Linked DNA regions of Saccharomyces cerevisiae S288C. The gene in region 4 interacts genetically with the main gene of each other region. Each region holds a gene or a part of one and is shown on either strand. Other genes may lie near its edges. The genes, in order: YNR066C, YGR210C, UBR2 and DPC29.

The links.
Region 1: mutations in DPC29 (region 4) and YNR066C together harm fitness more than expected from each alone (negative genetic interaction), as found in Saccharomyces cerevisiae (2 studies listed by BioGRID).
Region 2: mutations in DPC29 (region 4) and YGR210C together harm fitness more than expected from each alone (negative genetic interaction), as found in Saccharomyces cerevisiae (2 studies listed by BioGRID).
Region 3: mutations in DPC29 (region 4) and UBR2 together harm fitness more than expected from each alone (negative genetic interaction), as found in Saccharomyces cerevisiae (2 studies listed by BioGRID).

What each region holds. Positions count from the first base shown.
Region 1 is NC_001146.8:752,528-757,059, forward strand, and holds YNR066C (uncharacterized protein), read right to left. Parts: upstream 2,509-4,532; coding exon 1,198-2,508; downstream 1-1,197. Other genes in the region: YNR065C (uncharacterized protein), read right to left, coding at 1-1,173; DSE4 (endo-1,3(4)-beta-glucanase), read right to left, coding at 3,219-4,532.
Region 2 is NC_001139.9:912,096-916,400, forward strand, and holds YGR210C (uncharacterized protein), read right to left. Parts: upstream 2,644-4,305; coding exon 1,408-2,643; downstream 1-1,407. Other genes in the region: SER2 (phosphoserine phosphatase), read left to right, coding at 1-717; thioredoxin TRX2, read right to left, coding at 818-1,132; zinc finger-containing protein ZPR1, read left to right, coding at 3,146-4,305.
Region 3 is NC_001144.5:186,375-195,035, reverse strand, and holds UBR2 (putative ubiquitin-protein ligase UBR2), read left to right. Parts: upstream 1-1,754; coding exon 1,755-7,373; downstream 7,374-8,661. Other genes in the region: ESCRT-III subunit protein SNF7, read right to left, coding at 1-584; IZH3 (Izh3p), read left to right, coding at 7,907-8,661. UniProt on the Saccharomyces cerevisiae protein: E3 ubiquitin-protein ligase which probably functions outside the N-end rule pathway, since it lacks the residues essential for the degradation of N-end rule substrates. Mediates RPN4 ubiquitination and subsequent degradation.
Region 4 is NC_001139.9:525,557-529,704, reverse strand, and holds DPC29 (post-initiation translation factor DPC29), read right to left. Parts: upstream 2,074-4,148; coding exon 1,201-2,073; downstream 1-1,200. Other genes in the region: MTL1 (Mtl1p), read right to left, coding at 1-441; VMA7 (H(+)-transporting V1 sector ATPase subunit F), read left to right, coding at 2,376-2,732; UGA1 (4-aminobutyrate transaminase), read right to left, coding at 3,061-4,148.

The DNA.
Region 1 (4,532 bases), on a different chromosome or scaffold from region 4:
ACAATTCTTGCCACCATAGTAAATAAAAGTATCCTGTGCTTTAGCACTAAAATCTAGTGGCATACCTAATTGCCTGGCTTCAGGTAATTTAGCTATCATAAAAGAGTGTCCTCTATCGTGTGTTGAGAATATGTTACCTTTAGAGCCAAACAAATATGCTGAAGAATTGAAATATGGGTTAAACACAACTTCAACAATTTTTTCGCCGTTAGTGTCAAACCTTTTTATTGTTTGTCCACCATCGTGGGATATATAGGCGTCTCCTATCGAATTCAGCATGACCAAAGATTCGTCGGCAACTGTATCGAAGTATTGGTAAAATTTAATTTCGAAGTCAAATTTGTTTTCAGTGGTCACTATTTCCCTGTCACTCGAACCCTCCTCTGGAATTTCGTCACACGGAATATCAACGGGTTCAATTTTCATGGGTGTTTTACATTCATCACCTTTGATTAATTGTAATGGCTCTACTAACACAGATTTATCCTTCGATTTGTCACATATGTTGGAAAAGGCAATCAGATTATAATCTGGTATACACAGGCCGTTTGCGTCCCTAACAAATTCAAACGAACATTCGTAGTCGGATTCACCACAACTATTACAAGGCGTTTCATCTAAACTCAAATCTTTGAATGCTTTTTTTACCAAACACTGGGCGTCTTGTTTCCTCCTTCTATACTTGTATTTGGCGCCATTAACACATTTCCCATCCGCCAAATCCCAATCTTCAAAATCTTCCTCCTCACACGTTCTAGAGTCGAATGCTGCTGAAAAATCAATTATATACTCGACACCTTTTAAAGAAGTTATACTGTTGGTTTCGGAATCGGTAGTGGCAAACGTTCCTTTAAAAATAAATTTTGAGCCAGATCCATCTGGTGTTGGATTTATCAATTTGTAGGGATGGACAGAACTTATGGCATTGGTCAGCTCATATTCATTCCATGTTCTACCTTGGTCCAAAGAATAATAAAATTCAGATTGAAAATCGCCATCTTCCTCTGGATCATATGGGATATACACAATAATATTTCCCAGGTCACCAGTAGCATATAACCCAGAAGAATTATGAACAAATCTCCACGTTAAACCGCCATCTCTAGAGATGAAAGTTTTTTGGTCTTCCCAATCGAATTCACTACCGTCGCCAACGGAACCTGTCATTAACATAATTCCGGCAGTAGGATTTGAGATTTAGATACTATAAAAAGGGTTCTGGAGCGAACATCTTTCAGGCCTAGTGATATCACAAGGGAATGAATCTGCATTTTCCTCGTCAACCACTTTCAAATTTGACCATGTGAGGCCGTTATCAACAGATATTTTAGTTTCATATCTGGCTATCTTTTTATTATATTTTCCTTTGTTATGAGAGTAGTCAAAGGAAGGATGAAACGAGCCAATTATTGTTCCTTCTAAGAAATGAGGAGAAGCAATATCAATATAACCAAAGTGAGGATTTATTGTCCATTCAACAGGTAAAAATTTCAACCCTTGAGAATCTGATATTAAAATTTCTGAGGGAGCTGGTTGGTCGTTTTTTTCATCTGTGAATATCGTAGATATAGGAATGATTATTCTTCCAATAGAATCTTCATAAATTCCATACATATGGACGTGCCGTACTTGAGCAGGTAGACGTGCCTTTTGAAAAGTAGACGCATCATTGGATATCCAGATGTCCATGGGTGACATTTCATTGTATCTATCATCTTGTGTCGAAACGATTATATGTGATTTTAATATCTTGTATTGATAAATAATTTTATCATTAAACTCATCAAATTTTTTGAAAGTTTTACCTCCATCAGTACTTAAGGCTAATTGTGTATATGCGGCACTTAAGTGACGATCGCTATCGTAACCATGGTTCGAGAACAAACATAGTATCGAAGCGTCGTTACCCTCAATATCAGAATCCTTGCTAGATTTGACAAAGTTGCAGCTTGAACTTGTTATATGGTCATCTTCTTTCTTTTTCAAGGAAGGTTCGATATTGTAAAAGGATTCCCCATCGTTGGTAAAGTAAGTTTCATTTTGTATTTGGATATAACCATTGTCGTTTATAAAGCAAGGGCAATCTGCAATAAGGTACTTTTTATCTGTCGGATGGGTAGCTATAGAGCAAGAAGTACCCAAACGACAGTTTTCAGAGACGGGTATAGTCAGAGCCCTCCATGATTTTCCACGATCATCGGTGACGTAAAATTTGGGTGATAAATGTATCGAAACAAAAGCCCTGTCCTGTCCATGCAAAGGATCAACAATTAATTCGAGAATATGCCCTTCAATTTCTTTGACCGCTTCCCAATTTTCTCCAGAATCGGAACTTATCCACACGACTTGATTATCTAATCTGATTAAACTGTTGGAATCGTCAAAGCTCTCTAGACTAAATGAATATTCTGAAAGAGTCTCCGTTACTTTGGGGACGAATTCCTCTGCATTGAGTAACGGAATAAAGAGACATGTCCAAATCGTGCATATGACTTGGAGTAATATCATAATTGAGGATCTCTTACCTTTTCTTAGTTCAAAGCTTTTTTTCAAAGCTCGGAACTTTATGCTACGATTCAATGACTAAAAAAAAGGTAGCGGATAATCTTTTGGTTGCAAATTGGCGGCATTTAAATATATTTTGGGTTGCAAATATTCTAAAAATATTCTCATAATATTCTAAAAATATCTAGCCTAGGTAATTGCAATTATTTTGAGTCTGGTTATTTTGAGTTGACCATGTTCACTTCCTTTTCAGTCATCAAGACAACGTGTTTACCATCTAATGGGGAATCAAACAGATAAAACTAGAAACTGAGCAAAAATACTTTGATTTGCTAATGTCGCCAGTAGTACGATAATACTATAAAGATATGCTGTTGAAGCTGATATTTAAAGAATGAGAATCTCTAAGGGATCATAGTCTAGAATGGTATTCTGCAAAACAAATTTTAAATGGTGAAAACTTTTCCTCACTATGTCCAATTGATGCTTCTTAGGATGACGTTAGAATTTTATTTTAGTGCAGGCATTACCTTGCTAAGTTCATTCATTAAAGTACTAATATACCTCTTACTGGCATGCATTTACCTAAGTGGTCTCCGTTAGCCGTGGTCTTTTCGAACGCAACAACTTTCAAGTTAAGTAAAAATGATTTATTCTATAAAATATGTATGTAGTGGGAAAGACTCGACAGACCTGCTTGCCAAGTTCTCTTTCTAAGCAATTGAGTTGGCCAGTCCCCCTGAAAATGCTAATGCCCATGTGCGACTCATTCCGTTATCCAAATATGTGGATGAATCAAAAGTTGAATCACTGAAAAATGCATACGAATCTACTGGGTCGAAGAGTGCTTGATTCAGCTTCAATATGCCTGTCCAGCCGCTTTCTATCGATTCAATAATTGGCTCGATTTTAGTCTGCCATTCTTCTTCGACGAAAGTCTCAGAACGAATATTAGAAGAAACTGGTGTGATAGGTAGCATATGAATACCGTGGATATATTCTGTGTTTGTTCCAAAATAAGTAGTATAATCGATAATATTATCGAATAAAATACCACTCACTTTATTTCCTATGATTTCTTCAGGCTCAACTGTGTTGTCATTTTGATAATAGAAATAGTCGTTCATTGCATCCTTCATTATACTAATCATCAAGTCACCCCTCAATTCCATTGACTGGTCACCGATAGTGGCCCCCCATAACTTCATAGCATAGGCAAAATTGTAATCTTCACTACTACTTTCTTCGTTCTTACCGTTACCGTTTTCATAAAGTCCAGCTGCCCATGAATGACCGTTGAACCAATCAAACATTCTCGATTGTGCAAAGTATTCATCTTTTTCAGATGGATTTGCGACATCTCTTACCAATGAATTGACCCAATCTTTATTGTCGGCAGCCCAAGTACCATTCAGTTTAGAGTCAACATAGCCGATGACAGCAGCTGCATGAATAATGTAACCATAATGGAAATGATGGTCATTGTAATAAGTGTTACCAAAATCGTATTGCGTGCTGGTGGAACCCCAATCTCCTGAACTGACCAAACCGTTGAACTTTGTGTCGTAAATTAGTGGATACGTCTGTTCATTTTGTAGCAGAATATCAAAGGCCGATTTGATGTTTTCCAAAGTACTCTTAGTACTGGCTTCATCTTGGATGATTTCGGAGACCGTTAATAGAATGTAAGAATACTTATCGATAACTTTACCCAAATAATATGTGTTTAACCCGCTTATACTTTCGGAAATACTAACCTGTAATTCGGAATTGGCAACTTCAGCTAATAATTGCAATTGTTCTTTAGAATACTCTAAAAGGTTTGAGCCAAGTTGAGAAGACCATGGTAACCAAGATATTTGTCTGTTTAGAGATGTGGAAAATTGTAGGCTCGTTGTTAGATAACCGTTCATTACACCCTTAGTTGTAGAAGCGAGTTGAATGCCGGTATAGTAGTCTTGCATTATATCACTAAATGAAGATTCATGATGGGGCAAGGCAAAAATCATTGTGCTACCTGATGCCGA
Region 2 (4,305 bases), 390 kb from region 4:
GACAGTCATAATGATGTTGATGTTATTGTTTCTGTCGACAATGAATATCGTCAAGCCAAAAAGCTCTTTGTCTTTGACATGGATTCAACATTAATCTACCAAGAGGTCATCGAATTGATTGCCGCTTATGCTGGTGTTGAAGAACAAGTGCACGAGATCACAGAAAGAGCCATGAACAATGAACTTGATTTCAAAGAGTCTTTAAGAGAACGCGTTAAATTATTGCAAGGCCTCCAAGTCGATACACTATATGATGAAATAAAACAAAAGCTAGAGGTCACCAAGGGTGTGCCAGAACTATGCAAGTTCCTTCACAAAAAAAATTGCAAGCTCGCTGTTTTAAGCGGTGGTTTTATTCAGTTTGCCGGTTTTATCAAGGATCAGTTAGGTTTAGATTTTTGTAAGGCAAACTTGTTGGAAGTTGACACTGATGGAAAATTAACCGGTAAAACACTGGGTCCTATCGTAGACGGACAGTGCAAGAGTGAAACCCTTCTGCAACTATGTAATGACTACAATGTTCCAGTTGAAGCAAGTTGTATGGTGGGTGACGGTGGTAACGACCTGCCAGCCATGGCTACCGCCGGGTTTGGGATCGCATGGAACGCCAAGCCAAAGGTGCAGAAAGCTGCACCTTGTAAGTTGAATACCAAGAGCATGACTGACATTTTATACATTCTTGGTTACACCGATGATGAAATATACAATAGACAATGAAGAAAATAATGATAGATAGATGTAATAGAGTTTCTTTTTAAAATTGTTTATTTAAACTGGTAAACATGATGTACTTTACGTAGCGTTAATATACCGGCAACTATACGTTGGAAGCAATAGCTTGCTTGATAGCAGCTGGGTTGGCACCGACGACTCTGGTAACCTCCTTACCGCCCTTGTAGAAGATTAGGGTAGGCATGGAAGAAACTTCAGCTTTTTGAGCAACATCTGAGACTTCATCAACATCCAACTTGTAAAAAGCAGCGTCAGAATATTGTTCTGCAAACTTTTCAATCATTGGTGCAATCATTTTACATGGCCCACACCATGTGGCAAAAAAGTCAACAACGACTAACTTGTCGCCAGATGCTAAAGCACTGTCGTATTCAGAAGCGGATTTTAATTGAGTGACCATTATTGATGTGTTATTTAAAGATATCGTAGACTCTCGTGTATGTGTGCGTGTATAATTCTTGCTAGACAACAAATAAAAACTGGTCCTCGTTATTCTCTTGTCAGCTTTTCATCCCCCGAATGGCTTTCTTATATACTGATATCCCTCTTTCGGCTGGCTGGAAACTGAACGCGCTTAGTAAGAAAAGAGCCACCTTGTAGGGAGCATCCTTTACTAAGAGTATAAACAATTACACATATACTTTGATGATTACTTAATATTCACTGGCACTCAAGTTATGCTGATCTTGGAGCGATCTTGAAGCCGAGTATGTCATTCTTACCGGGCTCAACAAGACTTTCTTCACTGACTCTCACGCCGCCAACGGTTTCAATGCTTGCAATGGTGACCTCGCCACCCATGATATACCTGGCAACTTTGCCAACAGGGGTTCCTCGCTTGACCAAAAAACAATCTCTAAATACGTTGGTTCCGTTGCCACCCGTAAAAGTCTGGATGTTCTTCACAGTGTACACCGGTATTAGACCAAGGATGTCCGTTGCTGCTTGCAGAACCTGAACAACACCCGTAGATCCGAATCTATACAGGACCAAATCTCTGATATTTTCAATTCTGTTAAGGATCTTGTCGTCCAGTGGCTTTAGTTTGTCTGGCTCGTCCTCAAATGTGTCAACAAATTCCGTGCCCTCCTCGTATAATATAAAACCTTGCTTTTTCAATTTCCTCAAAAAAACTTCCGTCACTGCACTGGTCAGTACAGCTTTGGTGTCAGGATACTTTAGCATGATTTTAGAAACATTTTTATCGGCGTCAGGGTGGTCAATCTTGTTGAGTGCCAACACAGTTGGAAATTTCTCCATCATAAAGGACTTGACCACTCGAGTGATCCATTCGTCATCCCATTTTTCCAAAGGTGGTAGTCCCTTCAACCTGTCCAGGGCTTTTTGGATCATGGGCGCATGTGAACCGTACCCACCGAATTGCGCTTGAAGTGTGTCCACTATGCTAGATTTCGTTGCTGTATGTTTACGCACAATAGACCCCCATCTTTTCTTCAGGTTCCCCTCAACCCAAAGCCTGATTTCGTCTTGCAGCCATTCTATATCGTTCAATGGATCATATCCTCTTGTGTTCTTCCCCTCTGCATCTGTGGTTCCACTAACGTCCACCACATGAATAAGAGCATCTGCGTGTCTTAAATCATCCAAGAATTTATTTCCAAGCCCTCTGCCGGAATGCGCTCCAGGCACAAGCCCTGCCACATCCAACAGTTTGATGGGGATATGCCTCTTACCCTTGCTACACCACCCGTAGTTAGGTTTACAAAGATCTTCCTTGCCAAATCTGGAGCAAGCACACTCAACTTGCAAGTAGCCGGTTGCCTGATTTGGCTCGATCGTGGTAAAGGGAAATGCTCCTACCGCCGCACCTGCGTCCGTCAAAGAATTTAATGTGGTGGATTTCCCTGAAGATGGCTTACCCACAATACCAATCAATGGATCCCTGGGCATACTGGCTCTATTTCCGTTTTATTCTTACAGACAGCTTATACTACAAGTTAGTTGGACAAAAGCTAAAAGACGGAAAACGAAAACGCAAAATGAAAATAAAACCAACTCTCATTACAATTCATCCTAGAACACTTACACATCTGTTTTGCACTGCATAGCATTACATTTCTTGCATATCTATCTATTCGAGAAAAAAAAAAAAAGGCATCGAGTGAATTTTTCACCTTGATAAAAAAGCCCTTACTAACCCTACAATAAATTGTGCCGAAACCCTCTGGAGTTTTCTAGAATATTCTAGCCCCATCAGGGCTAGAATATCCTAAAAGTTTATAGTTGACGAAAATTTTTCAGCGATGAGATGCACATTTATAATGCTATGATGTTCAACGCAAAGGAAATCATAGCGTTATCGGGTAGGTTCGCATCGTTAGCAATAGCTAGTCGCATATATACACAGAGATACATATTATACCTATACCGTTAAGAAATAGGATAGAAAATAATGAGCGAACAAAAGGAAGATTTGTTTAAACCAGTAGGAGAAGCTGCTGCAGAGGTCGAAGATGAAAGCATAGCCGAACAGAACAAAGCTAATGACGGCGTCAAGTTAACCGGCGCACAGGACGCCATGGGCCATCCAGTGCAAGAGATAGAGTCTCTTTGTATGAATTGTGGAAAGAACGGTACAACCAGACTTCTTCTGACTTCCATCCCTTATTTCAGAGAAATAATTATTATGTCATTCGACTGTCCTCACTGTGGGTTTAAGAACTGTGAGATCCAACCCGCTTCTCAAATTCAAGAGAAGGGCTCTCGTTACGTTTTGAAAGTGGAGTGCCGTGAAGATTTTAACAGGCAAGTTATTAAGTCAGAAACTGCCACTTGTAAGTTTGTCGAGCTAGACATTGAGATTCCTGCTAAGAGAGGTCAATTGACGACAGTTGAAGGTTTGTTATCCGAGATGATCGACGATCTGTCGCAAGACCAGGAAATGAGAAAATCTATAGACGAAGCTCTTTACAAGAAGATCGATGACTTCATACAGAAAGTTAAATCCTACATCAATTGTGAACCCAACACTATTCCGATTACATTTATTTTGGATGATCCTGCGGGAAATTCCTGGATCGAATACAAACCCGGTGAACCTCAACACAAATGGTCTCATACCCAGTACGTGAGAACCGACGAACAAAACGTTCAAGTTGGCATTATTACTAGAGACCAGTTGGAGCAACGTCGCCAAGAACAATTAAAACAATTGGCCAACCGTGAAAGAAATCCTTCTGAATCTGTCAAAGTTGGCTCAGCAAACCCACAGTTTTTGTCAGACGCCACCGACATCGAAAACTTTAACAACGAGGTGCAAACATTCAGAGCTTCTTGTCCATCGTGTACCCAAGAGTGTGAAACTCATATGAAGCCAGTAAATATCCCACACTTTAAAGAAGTCATTATCATGTCGACGGTCTGCGATCATTGTGGTTATAAGTCTAATGAGGTGAAGACCGGTGGTGCCATCCCTGACAAAGGAAGAAGGATTACTTTATACTGTGACGATGCAGCTGACTTGTCCCGTGATATTTTGAAATCTGAGACCTGTAGTATGGTAATTCCTGAATTACATCTTGATATTCAAGAAGGTACATTGGGTGGTAGATT
Region 3 (8,661 bases), on a different chromosome or scaffold from region 4:
TTCTCTGAGATAGGCGCCGCATTAACATTATTATTAACGATCTTGGACGTTTCTTGGTTAGCATTTTCTTGAGCCAGCATGTCCAATTCCTCGTCCAGCTCATCTTCATCCACCTCGTTTGCCCCAGTAATTAAAGGCCTGGATATAGCGTCGCTTATTTCATCTCCTAATTCGACTTGCTCCCTTATCTCGTCCATAGTTTCATCCACTTTATCTATGTCAAGGCCACTGTGAATAGTTTTCATTGCCTTAGCACCTTCCTGCATAGCCCTCATTGTCTCTAGATTTAAGTTTGCACTTTCTATAGAGAATAGCTGCTGTTCCATAGACTCCATTGTGCCTTCTACCTTACTTAAAAGTTGTTCGATTGTCTTCTTCTTTTTAAGTGCATTCTTCGCCATTACTTTATTGCCCTTCGTCAAAAAGATTCTAGCTTCATTCTCTTGATTTGTAATTTGAGTACGTAAATGCGATTGCTTTTTGGATAGAAGGTTGATATGCTCCCTCAACCGCACTATGGCCTTTGTTGGTGACTCTTTATTCTTGGCATTACTTGATGTCCAACCAAAAAGTGATGACCACATGCCTTATTTATCAATACTGTTATGTTTCTGCTGCTTCCGTCCGAAATACAATATCTTACCCTTTAGAAGCTCGTACTTCCCCTGCTCTGCCAACTATTCATGATTCGAAATCACCCACCGACTTATTTAAAAATCCCATCTTTTATCAAAAGGGTCGAACATGAATCGTATAAAATGATGCATATAACAAAAGCTATGTAGTATATATATTTGCTATTACTTACCAACATTAAGCATTGGTTAGTTACGGAACTCCATCGTTGTCGTTACTCTGCTCACCCCCACCTCAATAACTACTTTACATAAGTATGCGGCATATAACAATATGACAAGTCATCCTATAATTAAAAAAGTTAACTGTCACCATAGCATAACCGCCAAGCGCTAAATTAAGGGGGAAAGAAAAGAACGGTGTTGAACGCAAGCTATCTACCTCTTTCTTTGATGCGGTTGAAATATTATACTCGAATAACAACCATTTATAGAGGCGAAATCACTAGAATGGCCGGCTTAGTATAAACAATACCGAGTACGCCAATTTTATGGTACACAGTTTATACGTAATACTGATTTCCGACGAAGCCGCAATTGTAAGTCAAAACTTGAATTAATTAGTCTCACATGGCTGACATAACGAAGAATAAAATTAGGGAAAATACCGCCAAAATTTATCCCCCGTTTAGAGGAAGGTGATGACTCGACTCATCAATTTTCAATCTACATATAGCTACGTATTCATGCCACTCACTTCTTAGGATGTTAGATGTAACAAACCGAGCAATCATAAGGCCCATGTTATAATATTTGCGGGGCAAGTGTTACTGGTCCTAGATCCTAATTGCCCGTTTCTTCACTAGATGTGCAAAAAGCACACCATCACTTATCACGTTGTGGTGACAACGGCGGCAATTTCCAGTGGCGTTTGTTGAACTTTTAGGCGATATCAATAAAGAGCATCGTCAATGTACAGCTGTGGGGAGAAACCCAATAATCAACGCATTCATACTTTCAATTGCTTGGCATATTACTAACAACTCTATAAAAAAAAAAAGTTGCTCAAGCTTTTTAAAAAAAAGAGCCGGCTTTTTTTTCTAATTATTATCATTTACTCGTCTCTGATAGTAAAGGTAAGATTCGTTAACTAAATTAATAGCTACTTAACAAGCACGCATGGAAGATTCTGACCTGTCTATAACCAATATAAGAGATTTTCTTACCGAGCTCCCCAAACTCGCGAAATGCGAATATAGCGAAACCACTAGTTATTTACTATGGAAAACCTTAAATCTACGCCTTAAGCATAGTGATAACGATATAAACTGGCGCTCTCTCGTTTCAATACTCAATTCTGAAGCCTGGGAAAACGAAAAGTACAGAGACATACTAAATGGAAGAAAGTGGAGGACCCTGGAGTTCGAGAATGACCACCACTCTGTGGGTAATATGCATATTGGAACAGCGTGTACGCGTTTATGCTTCCCCTCTGAGACAATTTATTACTGTTTTACGTGCTCCACAAATCCATTGTATGAAATATGTGAGCTTTGTTTCGATAAAGAAAAACATGTAAATCATTCTTATGTTGCTAAAGTGGTAATGCGCCCAGAAGGCAGAATATGCCATTGTGGTGACCCCTTTGCCTTTAATGACCCAAGCGACGCGTTCAAGTGCAAGAACGAATTAAATAATATTCCTATTTCTAACGACAATAGTAACGTAACCGATGATGAAAACGTAATCTCCCTATTGAATTATGTTCTGGATTTTTTAATTGATGTAACTGTTTCATACAAAGAGGAGGCAGAAGCCCATTCAAGCGAGAGAAAAGCATCCTCCCTAATGCATCCTAATCAAAACAGCATTACTGATGATATAATGGAAAAACACGAATGTGAACCATTGGTCAATGATGAAAATTTTGTTTTCTTTGATAACAATTGGTCCAATACGAGAAAAGAAGCACATATGGAGTGGGCTATTCAAATCGAAGAAGAAGAGTGTAACGTACACTACATGGATTTAGCATCTACAATAACAAGAATTTTGAATACACCGGTTGAATATGCAATCTCAATAACGAAGGCTTTAGAAGATTCACACGATGTAGTGACTGTGCTACAAAGTGAGAATTTTTTCGAAATAGATCAAATAGCCAAGGAGTTTCAAAAGGAAAACATAGTAGTTCATGTAAGAAAAGCGGATGATATATTCAAGAGAAAGTTAACAGATGATTTAACAGATTGGTTATATTCTCTGTGCTTTAAGGCGGCCACGTCTTTGCAAAATAAATATGCTCTTAGAATTTCCATGCTAGATGTTTGGTATTCCCATTTTTCTAAAATGAGAGTATCTCCCACAAATACCAATCCTGACTTTTCTAAGATTAACTTATTAGGTGGATTCTTAATATCTAACGAAGATAGTGATGAATCATGGTTTAAACCTTGGTCATTAGAGAACATTGAAGACGAAAGAATTTCAAAAATACTCACTAATTACAATGAAAGGTTGATCAGAGCCCATTCGCCGAACACAGTAAGCCATTTCTACAATTTCTATGGATCTAGATTCCAATATATTATCATCAATTCTATTAATATCCTCTCAAAAAAATCTAAATTCAAAATGTTAAAGATCATGGCGTCATTATTCTCGTTAAGGGATGAAAGCAGAAAGTTTCTTGCCGCACAATATATTGATGTTTATCTATCGGTCTTGTATGATGCAGTTGCATCAGATGCTAAAGAATGTCAGGTAACTCTTATGAGTATATTAGGGCAATACACTTTCCAAGACCCCAGCATAGCAAATATGACTATAAGCTCGGGATTCATTGAACGAACTATTAGATTTGCTTTTACTCTCATGGCATTCAATCCAGAAGACTTGATGTCATATTTGCCCATCTCTTTATACAATGGCTTTAAGTTGCCCACCGAAACAATACGAAATCGAAGGACAATTATTTGCTTTAAAGACCTTTGTACGATAATGTCAGCGAACACTGTTCCGGAAGAACTACTTTCAAATGAGGCAATTTTTAACGCAATAATTGAGTCCTTCTCTGAATTCAGTAACGTGCTGCCATTGAAAAGGGAAACTAAAGAACACGTGGAGGTTGAAAACTTTGATTTTTCTGCATTTTATTTTTTTTTCTCATCAATACTAATAATGACAGATGGATACACACGTAGTATATCTTTGGTCAAAGATGCGGCTTTCCGTAAGCAAATCGTCCTTAAACTACTTGATGTTGCTCAAACCAGGGAATTTGAATCACTAACCAATTCTAGAAAAGCTATATCACCTGATAACGCATCAACGAATGAAAATGATTCGAACAAAGCGACTTTGTCTACAGTCAGAGAGACGATATGCAATTATGTCGCAGAGACTATTAATTTCCAGGTAGGTGTAAATACACAGTATTTTTTCAATCCAATGTCATATTTGTTCAAATTTGTTATTCAATGGAGTCAATGTGGTAGATATGAGCCAATTCCTGCTTCTTTGACAAACTACATTAATCTCTTCGAAGTTTTTCAAGATAAGCAGAAGGCTTTATATATATCAGAATCTGCTTTGTCAACCCTAGTCCTAATCGGGCAAATAAACGTCGGTTTCTGGGTAAGAAACGGAACTCCAATTACTCACCAGGCCCGGATGTATACAAAATACAGTATGCGAGAATTTACTTATATTAGTGACATTTTCAATGTGCAATTTAGTATGGCAATGTGCAATCCTGATGAACTGATGGTTACTTACCTCTCAAGGTGGGGTTTGAAGCACTGGGCAAATGGTGTACCTATGTATGATTATCCTGATACAGAAACAACTGTAGCCGTTGTTAATGAATGCATTCTGTTATTGATTCAATTGCTTACTGAAGTGAGATCATTGGTCATGAAATCATCAAAGGAAGGCTTCGAGAGAACGTTCAAATCAGAAATAATTCATGCCCTTTGCTTTGATACATGCTCTTACGCACAAATTGTTAACTGTATTCCAGAACATATCACCAAGCACCCTTCATTTGATATATATCTCGAAAAATACGCCAATTACACTTCTCCTGTAAGCTTGACTGACAATGGCATTTTCGTGTTGAAAGAAAAGTATAAAGATGAGATTGATCCTTATTATATAGGGTTGTCTTCCAGTAGGAGGTATGATGTAGAGAAAAATATCAGGCTGAATATGGCAAATTTGAAGAAAATGAAATATGAAGATACTTTTGTACCAGCAAAAAAGGTTAAAGATTTGTTGAAGAATACATTATTTTCTGGGCTGTATTCAATATCATCAGTGAATACTTTTGGTTTATTTTTGAAAAATACTTTAGATCACATTATAAAATATGATTATGACAATTTATTGCCGAGAGTGGTTCATTTGATTCATTTATGCGTGGTTAATAATCTGAATGAATTTATGGGGATACTGTGGCATGAATACGCAATTGTGGACACAGAATTCTGTCATTACCACAGCATTGGTTCTATCCTGTATTACTGTTTGTTGAAGGATAATTTTTCGGAATCTCATGGTAAGATTAGGGAAATTTTCAGGTATTTAATGGAAACAGCGCCTCACGTAAATGTAAACAGTTATTTGAGGGAGCAAACCACGTCATATACACCAGGAATATTGTGGCCTACAAAGGAAGATAAAAGCCACAAGGATAAAGAATTTGAAAGGAAAAAACATCTTGCTCGATTGAGAAAGAAAAAATTAATGAAGAAGTTGGCTCAACAGCAAATGAAATTCATGGAAAACAATAGTGTAGATACTTCCGATATTAGTACACCCAGAACCACATCACCTAGTTTATCTCCCACTAGAATAAATGCAGAGAATAGTAGTAACACAATCAACAGTTGCTGCGATGATGATTGCGTATTTTGCAAGATGCCGAAGGATGACGATGTATTTGTTTATTTTTCATACCAAGAACGGAACATATGTGATCATGGAATTGATTTTACGAATCCTACAGATGTTAATAGAATAAATTCGCTGTTCAGTGGTAAGCAAACAAAAGACAGTGCAATCCAAGAAAACCCCCAGGATGATGATGGAACGAGATTGAAATTTACTAGCTGTGAACCAGTATTAAGAGCATGCGGGCATGGGTCTCATACCAAATGTTTAAGTGGCCATATGAAGTCGATTCGCGGAATACAAAACCAAACTACAAAAAATATTCCATTATCGTATGGTTCAGGGTTGATATATTGTCCCGTATGCAATTCCTTAAGTAATTCATTTCTACCAAAAACAAATGATATAGATAAGAGAACTTCGAGCCAGTTTTTTATGTGTATTGAAAAGCGAAGTGAAGCGGAAGAAAACCTTGACCCAATGAGCTCTATTTGTATTAAAGCAGCGATGATTCTAGGTGATCTTCAGGGTAAAAAAGTCACGACTATCGAAGATGCATATAAAGTTGTTAATAGTGTTTTTATTAATACTATTTCAAATACTGAGCTCAGATTAAGATCGCACAAAAAGGAAGGAAAAATAGTGAATATGGAAAGAATATCCAGTCAGTGCATTTTAACCTTACATTTAGTTTGTGAGCTAAAGTCGTTTATTTACAAAAAATTTGTTAATTCAAAAACATTCAGCAGCGAAATCTCTCGTAAAATATGGAATTGGAATGAGTTTCTAATAAAGGGTAATAATGTGAATCTACTTTTGTATATGAGTCAAAATTTTGATAATATTGATGGAGGAAAAACCCCGCAACCGCCTAACCTATGTATCTATGAAATGTTCAAAAGAAGGTTCCATCAACTACTACTGTTGCTTGCAAGAGATATGATGAGAGTAAACTTTTACAAAGACTGTCGAAATAAAATCAAAATATCATCAAACGGATCTGAGGAACCATCGACAAGCTTTTCATATCTATTCAATACTTTTAAAAAGTATGTTGATCTCTTTAAACCAGACGACGTTCGGTTTGATTTTACAAGTTTAGAGAAAATTAAAGACTTTATATGCTCTCTATTACTAGAGTCATTGTCCATTTTTTGTAGAAGAACCTTCTTATTATTCAACATTCAGTATGATGATGATGGTGATGGTGATAATAATAATAACCGCAGCAATAATTTCATGGACGTCAAACAGCGTGAAATAGAGCTTATTTTCCGGTATTTTAAATTACCCAATTTAACTCACTTTTTGAAGGATTTTTTCTACAACGAACTAACACAAAATATAGAAAGGTATAATGATGGTAATGATAATTTGAGAATTCAGCAAGTAATATATGACATGGTGCAGAACATAAACACAAGAGCATATCCTTCACCAGAGCATATCCAGCTTATCGAACTACCATTGAACCTTTCCAAATTTTCCCTTGATAATGATGAAATATCGAATAAATGTGATAAATACGAAATCGCAGTATGCTTGTTGTGTGGCCAAAAATGCCATATTCAAAAAAGCATAGCACTGCAAGGTTATTTACAGGGGGAATGTACTGATCATATGAGAAATGGATGCGAAATCACCTCCGCTTACGGAGTTTTCTTAATGACCGGCACAAATGCGATATATCTGTCATACGGCAAAAGAGGTACATTTTATGCTGCACCTTATCTAAGTAAATACGGAGAGACCAACGAAGACTACAAATTCGGTACTCCCGTCTATTTGAATCGGGCGAGATACGCGAATCTAGCGAATGAGATTGTTTTTGGCAACATGATTCCGCACATAGTGTTCCGACTAACGGACGGCAGTGCAGATCTTGGTGGGTGGGAGACTATGTAGTTATCCAACAAATGTCTAGTCATTCAAAATTGCTACGAAATTAGCGTATCCGAAAAATCAAAAGAAATTTTATCTGTTTTAATTGGCGTGGGGAAGTGGGGTAGGGTCGAGGATCATTACGCTTTCTCGTGGGAAGGGACAGGGACGGACCGAAAAAAAAAGAAATGCCGCAGAAAAAGAAATGTTTTAGTGTGGGGTATGGGCTGAAGCTCGTATAGTGCAGGGTGACTTCACTTTTCTTTTTACCCTGCAGGAAATGGAGAAAGTGTTGATGGATAAGGTATATAGTCATAAGGTGACACAGCGTGGGTGTACATCTAGAAAGCTTGGCGATTCGAGCGAAGTGGTGGTTTACTCGTTTTATAATAAGAGTTTTTGGACATTATTTTTTCTTTAGGACACAGTTGATTCAAATTCTACACTTGTTTTGTCGTCTGGTAAAGTTTAGCCATTGTAAAGTGGACAAAGAAGAAGCTGCAACGCAGATAAGCTGAAAAATAGTTCACATCCCAACAGACAATCAAATTAAGTACATGATGGACTCGTCAAGCAAAAGCTTAACTCAGTATATACCCTCACCCATGGGATCTCTATCAAGGCTAAAGCAGAAGGGTGTGGACAATTTTCAGAAGGTGAAAAAATCCGGTAAATCCATCTATAATTACAACTACTCAAAATTCGTTCCTCATCCATTTTCAACTATTGATGAAAGTGTTAAACACTCTGAAAGTGGGCGGTATGATGATTTGGAGATAATTCGTCCAACAAAAGAAAAGGAAGTAACAAGTTCTGTGTACAAAAGAAACAGTGGCAAGTCTCTGAATACAGAATCTCAGTTTTCACTGGGAGATTCAGATGCAGCCACTTTGGTGAATTCAGTCGCTACTTTCAAGCTTAACAATGCTTCTACATCCACTTCACTGGTGTCTTCATCTTCAACTGTATGTTCTCAAGCGAAGTCCTCGTTACGTTCCCCAACAAGTCGTCTCAATGATACAAAAATCAAAGAGGAAAACAATTATATTTCCAGCGTGAAAGACTATTGCGGTCCAATGAGAAAATCCATGGTAAAGACGGAAATCCTCATTGAAGAACCTTTGAATCCTACTACCGATATCAAGTCTTTTATAAACTCATACAACCATGGCAAAGCGTATAGTCTAGGTGAAACTCAACATTTACATTATTATCAGTTGCCATTCCCATGGAGGGAAAACAGATACATAATCCATGGCTATAGGTTTTACAATACCCATTCCAAATCTTTGTTGTCTATCTTTAACTGGTA
Region 4 (4,148 bases):
CAGTGATGATGACGATGATATTATTGTTGATGATGAAGAGGAAGGAGATATTGATGATGATGACGATGATGACGTAACCTCCGAAGAAGACGACGATGTTGAAGACGACGAAACTTGCATGGACGAAGAGGAAAGTTCTGAGGATAATGTTGACGAAAGAGTAAGCAGTGAAGAACTTTGTGGGAAGGAAGTAAAGGATACTGAAGCTATACTCGGCGTTGATAAACTTGCGCTGCTCGTTGCATCGGTACTGGACGTAAATGACTCAACTGCGGAAAGCGAAGTGATGGAAGGAGCTGTGCTCGATGTTGTGCTATTAGCTGGAACCAACTCCTGCGAAAGAACACTTAGCGGTAGTGTTGTTAACGCCATGAGAATCGTTCTCCACATAGATAGGCTTGAAGCAGAGCTCTTCTTCCTGGTCGGATTGCAGCTTGCCATACCTTAACTACTTATATTATACTAACTGGGAGTAAGTTAAAAGTGGAAACGAAGATCGAACCAACCCGAAATGAACTAGAAGTGTTTAAACAAATTTCGGAAGCAATGGAGGATTATATCCCAATTATCTCCTCGGAATATATCCTTATTATGCCTTGGTCTTCCAATATGGACCGAAGAGTACTTACAGTAAATAGCAGTATCCTTCGTTTTTCATCTACACTTTTCTACCTAAAATTGATCTTCCCGAAGAAGAAAAACTAAAAACTTCGATTTGATGACTGTCAAGACCCCAAGAAAGAGGGAAAAAAAAAAATGATATCTCATGCAACAACAAGTAATTAAGTGCTCCTTGTTCATGGAAGACACAACAGGCACCACTAATAACCTGAATGAGGCACCTTCGACTTTCGAGATGAGCCCTTAGTTCATCCTGGTGTTGTGTTTGAGAGGGGGAGAGCACATCATTGTACTTCCAGATCCCCCTAGCCATGATCTAATATTACCGCTGAGTAAAAATAGATCTCGGCTGCGTCTCCGTCTCCGCCCGCCTTCCGTCGGTTACTTCGTCGGTTCTTGCTCGACCCCCGCCAGTCCGCAGACAACAGTCCGCAGCAGGCAAGTGCTGGTGTCCGCTTGGTGTTTTTACGTACGATTGTCTTTGTTGTTGTTTTTACTCTTTATTACAGTTATTACTACTGTTTGTTTAGTATATACAGGTATTTGTGGTATTGATTATTTATTTACGGTTTGGTTGGATTAAGCGTTGCTAGCGTTAGTGTACAACGACGTCACTTCGTCGATGTCCTCGAGCGCTGTGGTCAGTTTCTGTAGTTTCTCGAGCGTTTCATCGCCTTGCACGAAAACTTCCATATCCGGCTTGGCATTGTAGCCGATGCCCAAGTCTCTGATGTGGAAACCACGCTCCTTCAGTAGGGCGGCCACCTTATTGGTATCGGCAGGTTCCATCACCGCCTCGTAAGTTTGGCCTGTAGTTTCAGTTTCGGTATCACACTCTAAATCTTCTGCGTCTTCCTGCACAGGCGCAATGTCTTCGATGCCTTGAATCTCCAGTACGCTTTCTAGCACCTTGTCCTCAGTGTCTAACATCTTCGGAGGTACCATTGTAACGTATCCTTTTTTGTCGAAGAAAAACAACGTTGGAGTCATCGATCCATTAGCTTTATTAAATGCACTCCTTATCAGACCTATGGTCCTGTTCTTGTTGTCTGTCAGCGCTTCCACCACTATAGCGACCCCGCCGGGCCCCATTCCCTCGTATACACATAGCTCAGAAGCGTTTGAGTCCTTGCCCGATGCGCTGCTTCCAGAAGCTTTCCGGATGGCGTTCTCAATAACTTTTTTGCTGACATTGTTTTTATTTGCTAGCTCGATGCTGGTGGCTAATCTTATATTCATGCTCGGATCCGTAATACCGTTGCCTAACTTGACTGACATTGCTATCTGGTTTGCAAACTTGTTATTAATTTTGTTTCGTTCCGCATCATTCTTGGCTTTACCGTGCTTGATGGTTGACCATTTGTTGTGACCTGAACGTACCGAGGAATTCAGCACACTAAACGATCGAGAGTTTTTGAGCAGTTCACCCAGATACCTATTTCTTACCAACATTTTCCAATTTTTGATGCGTTCATACCAAGTTTGCTGTTTTTCTTAGTTATTATCATCATCTTTCCCCTTATTGCTGCTGAAACTTGCGTACGTGCGTACTAAAAAAATTTCACTGCGCTTACGCCGGTAAAGGGAAGTAGGAAAACGAAAGAAAAAAAAAAAATAAAGGCGAACGATAACAGGAAAACCAACGTGAATTGCAAGCACTACATTTATTATATCGAGTTGACAAAGAATTAAGAAAATAGAGCACTACATTTCTATATTCATAGCTAGTCTCACTGACGCATAGTAACTAAATCATGGCTGAGAAACGTACTCTTATAGCTGTGATAGCTGACGAAGATACTACAACTGGTTTATTGTTAGCCGGGATTGGACAAATCACTCCTGAAACCCAAGAAAAGAACTTTTTTGTTTACCAAGAAGGTAAGACTACTAAGGAGGAAATCACTGACAAGTTTAATCACTTTACTGAAGAGAGAGACGATATTGCCATCCTTCTAATCAACCAACATATCGCGGAAAACATAAGAGCTAGAGTGGACTCCTTCACCAATGCGTTCCCTGCTATTTTAGAAATTCCATCTAAAGATCATCCCTACGACCCTGAAAAGGACTCTGTATTGAAGAGAGTCAGAAAGTTGTTCGGTGAGTAAGCGAACGATCTTTCCCAAAACAAACACAATTACTGGTAGATTACTAGTAGCAGGCGGAGGTGGAGGGCGGGAGCCACTGTTATTGCGTTTGTATAATATATACACTCATAAATGATATATTTAAGGTTCAGATAAAAACAACTTTTTTTTTTTTAGCACGTCTTTACTGCAGTCACCAAACCCATTTTTTTTTTCCTATTGTGAATACCCGCCCATATTTTTCACACACAACTGATGAGTAATATAAAACTTTTCTTTAAAATTATAACAAGATACACATATATAAAGACCAAAAAAGGGAACGTGACACGGCCTCGCTAATATACAATCATAATTCATTAACTGATTTGGCTAATGCTTCAATAAAGATATCAGCATGCTTCTCCTCGAATGTTAATGAAGGTCTTAATCTCACTGCATGGACTGCACATCCACCAACGTTGCAACCATTCAACTTCAATTTCTTCAATAGTAAGTCTCTCTTCTCACCAGTAGGCAAATCCCAGGCAATGAATGTGCCTCTTCCTTTACCTCTCAAGTTTTGAAAGTTTTCAGGGTATTTCTTCTGCAAACCCTCCAATTTCTTGAACAAATAATCACCTACTCTTGAACATTGTTCAGTCAACTTCTTGTCGGAGATTTCCTGTCCAATGGCACCTGCAATGATCATTCTTGCAGGTTCACCACACCATGTGTTGAATTGTCTGTATGGTTTGTTTGGAATGAATTTAGGGTCGTGGAAGAAATATCCTGCACTTTGGAATTTCTTGGAAAAGGTCACTAAATCCACAGGTGGTTGAATATCGGCGTACTCATGACACCATAGCTTACCGGTGGCTCCGACACCTGTTTGCACTTCATCTATGATGTAGACAACGTTATACTTCAAGGTAATGTCTCTTAGCTTTTGTAAGAAATACTTAGAAGCGTGGTTATCACCTCCCTCAGATTGAATTGGTTCGATGATTAAGGCAGCAACTGGAATAGACCAGGTTTTGATTAATTCTTCAACAATGGCCAAGCAATGGTCATCCTCTTTACGGTTTGCATCAGAATTTTCATCTAATGGGTATTGGTAAGATGGATACTCAGCATGAGGCCAGTGGAAGGCTGGGAAATCCAACTTGTGAATTGGTTTAGAACAAGTTGTGGAACCGGAGGCAAACAATCTACCGTGGAACGCTCTCTTGAACGATAGTACGGCAAGATGAGGGGCGCCAGGGGCGTCATTGTCCATGACAGACAAGTTTTCCTTTTCAGAAAAATCGGCATCATAGCCCCTTTGTTTGGCACGGTAATAAATAAAGGCAGCCTTGAACGCTAATTCATTGGCATCTGCACCGGAAAGCCCTGACCAGACGTGATCTTGACCCTTTGGCGCAGATTTCAATATTTGCTTCAATATCTTGTCTAAAT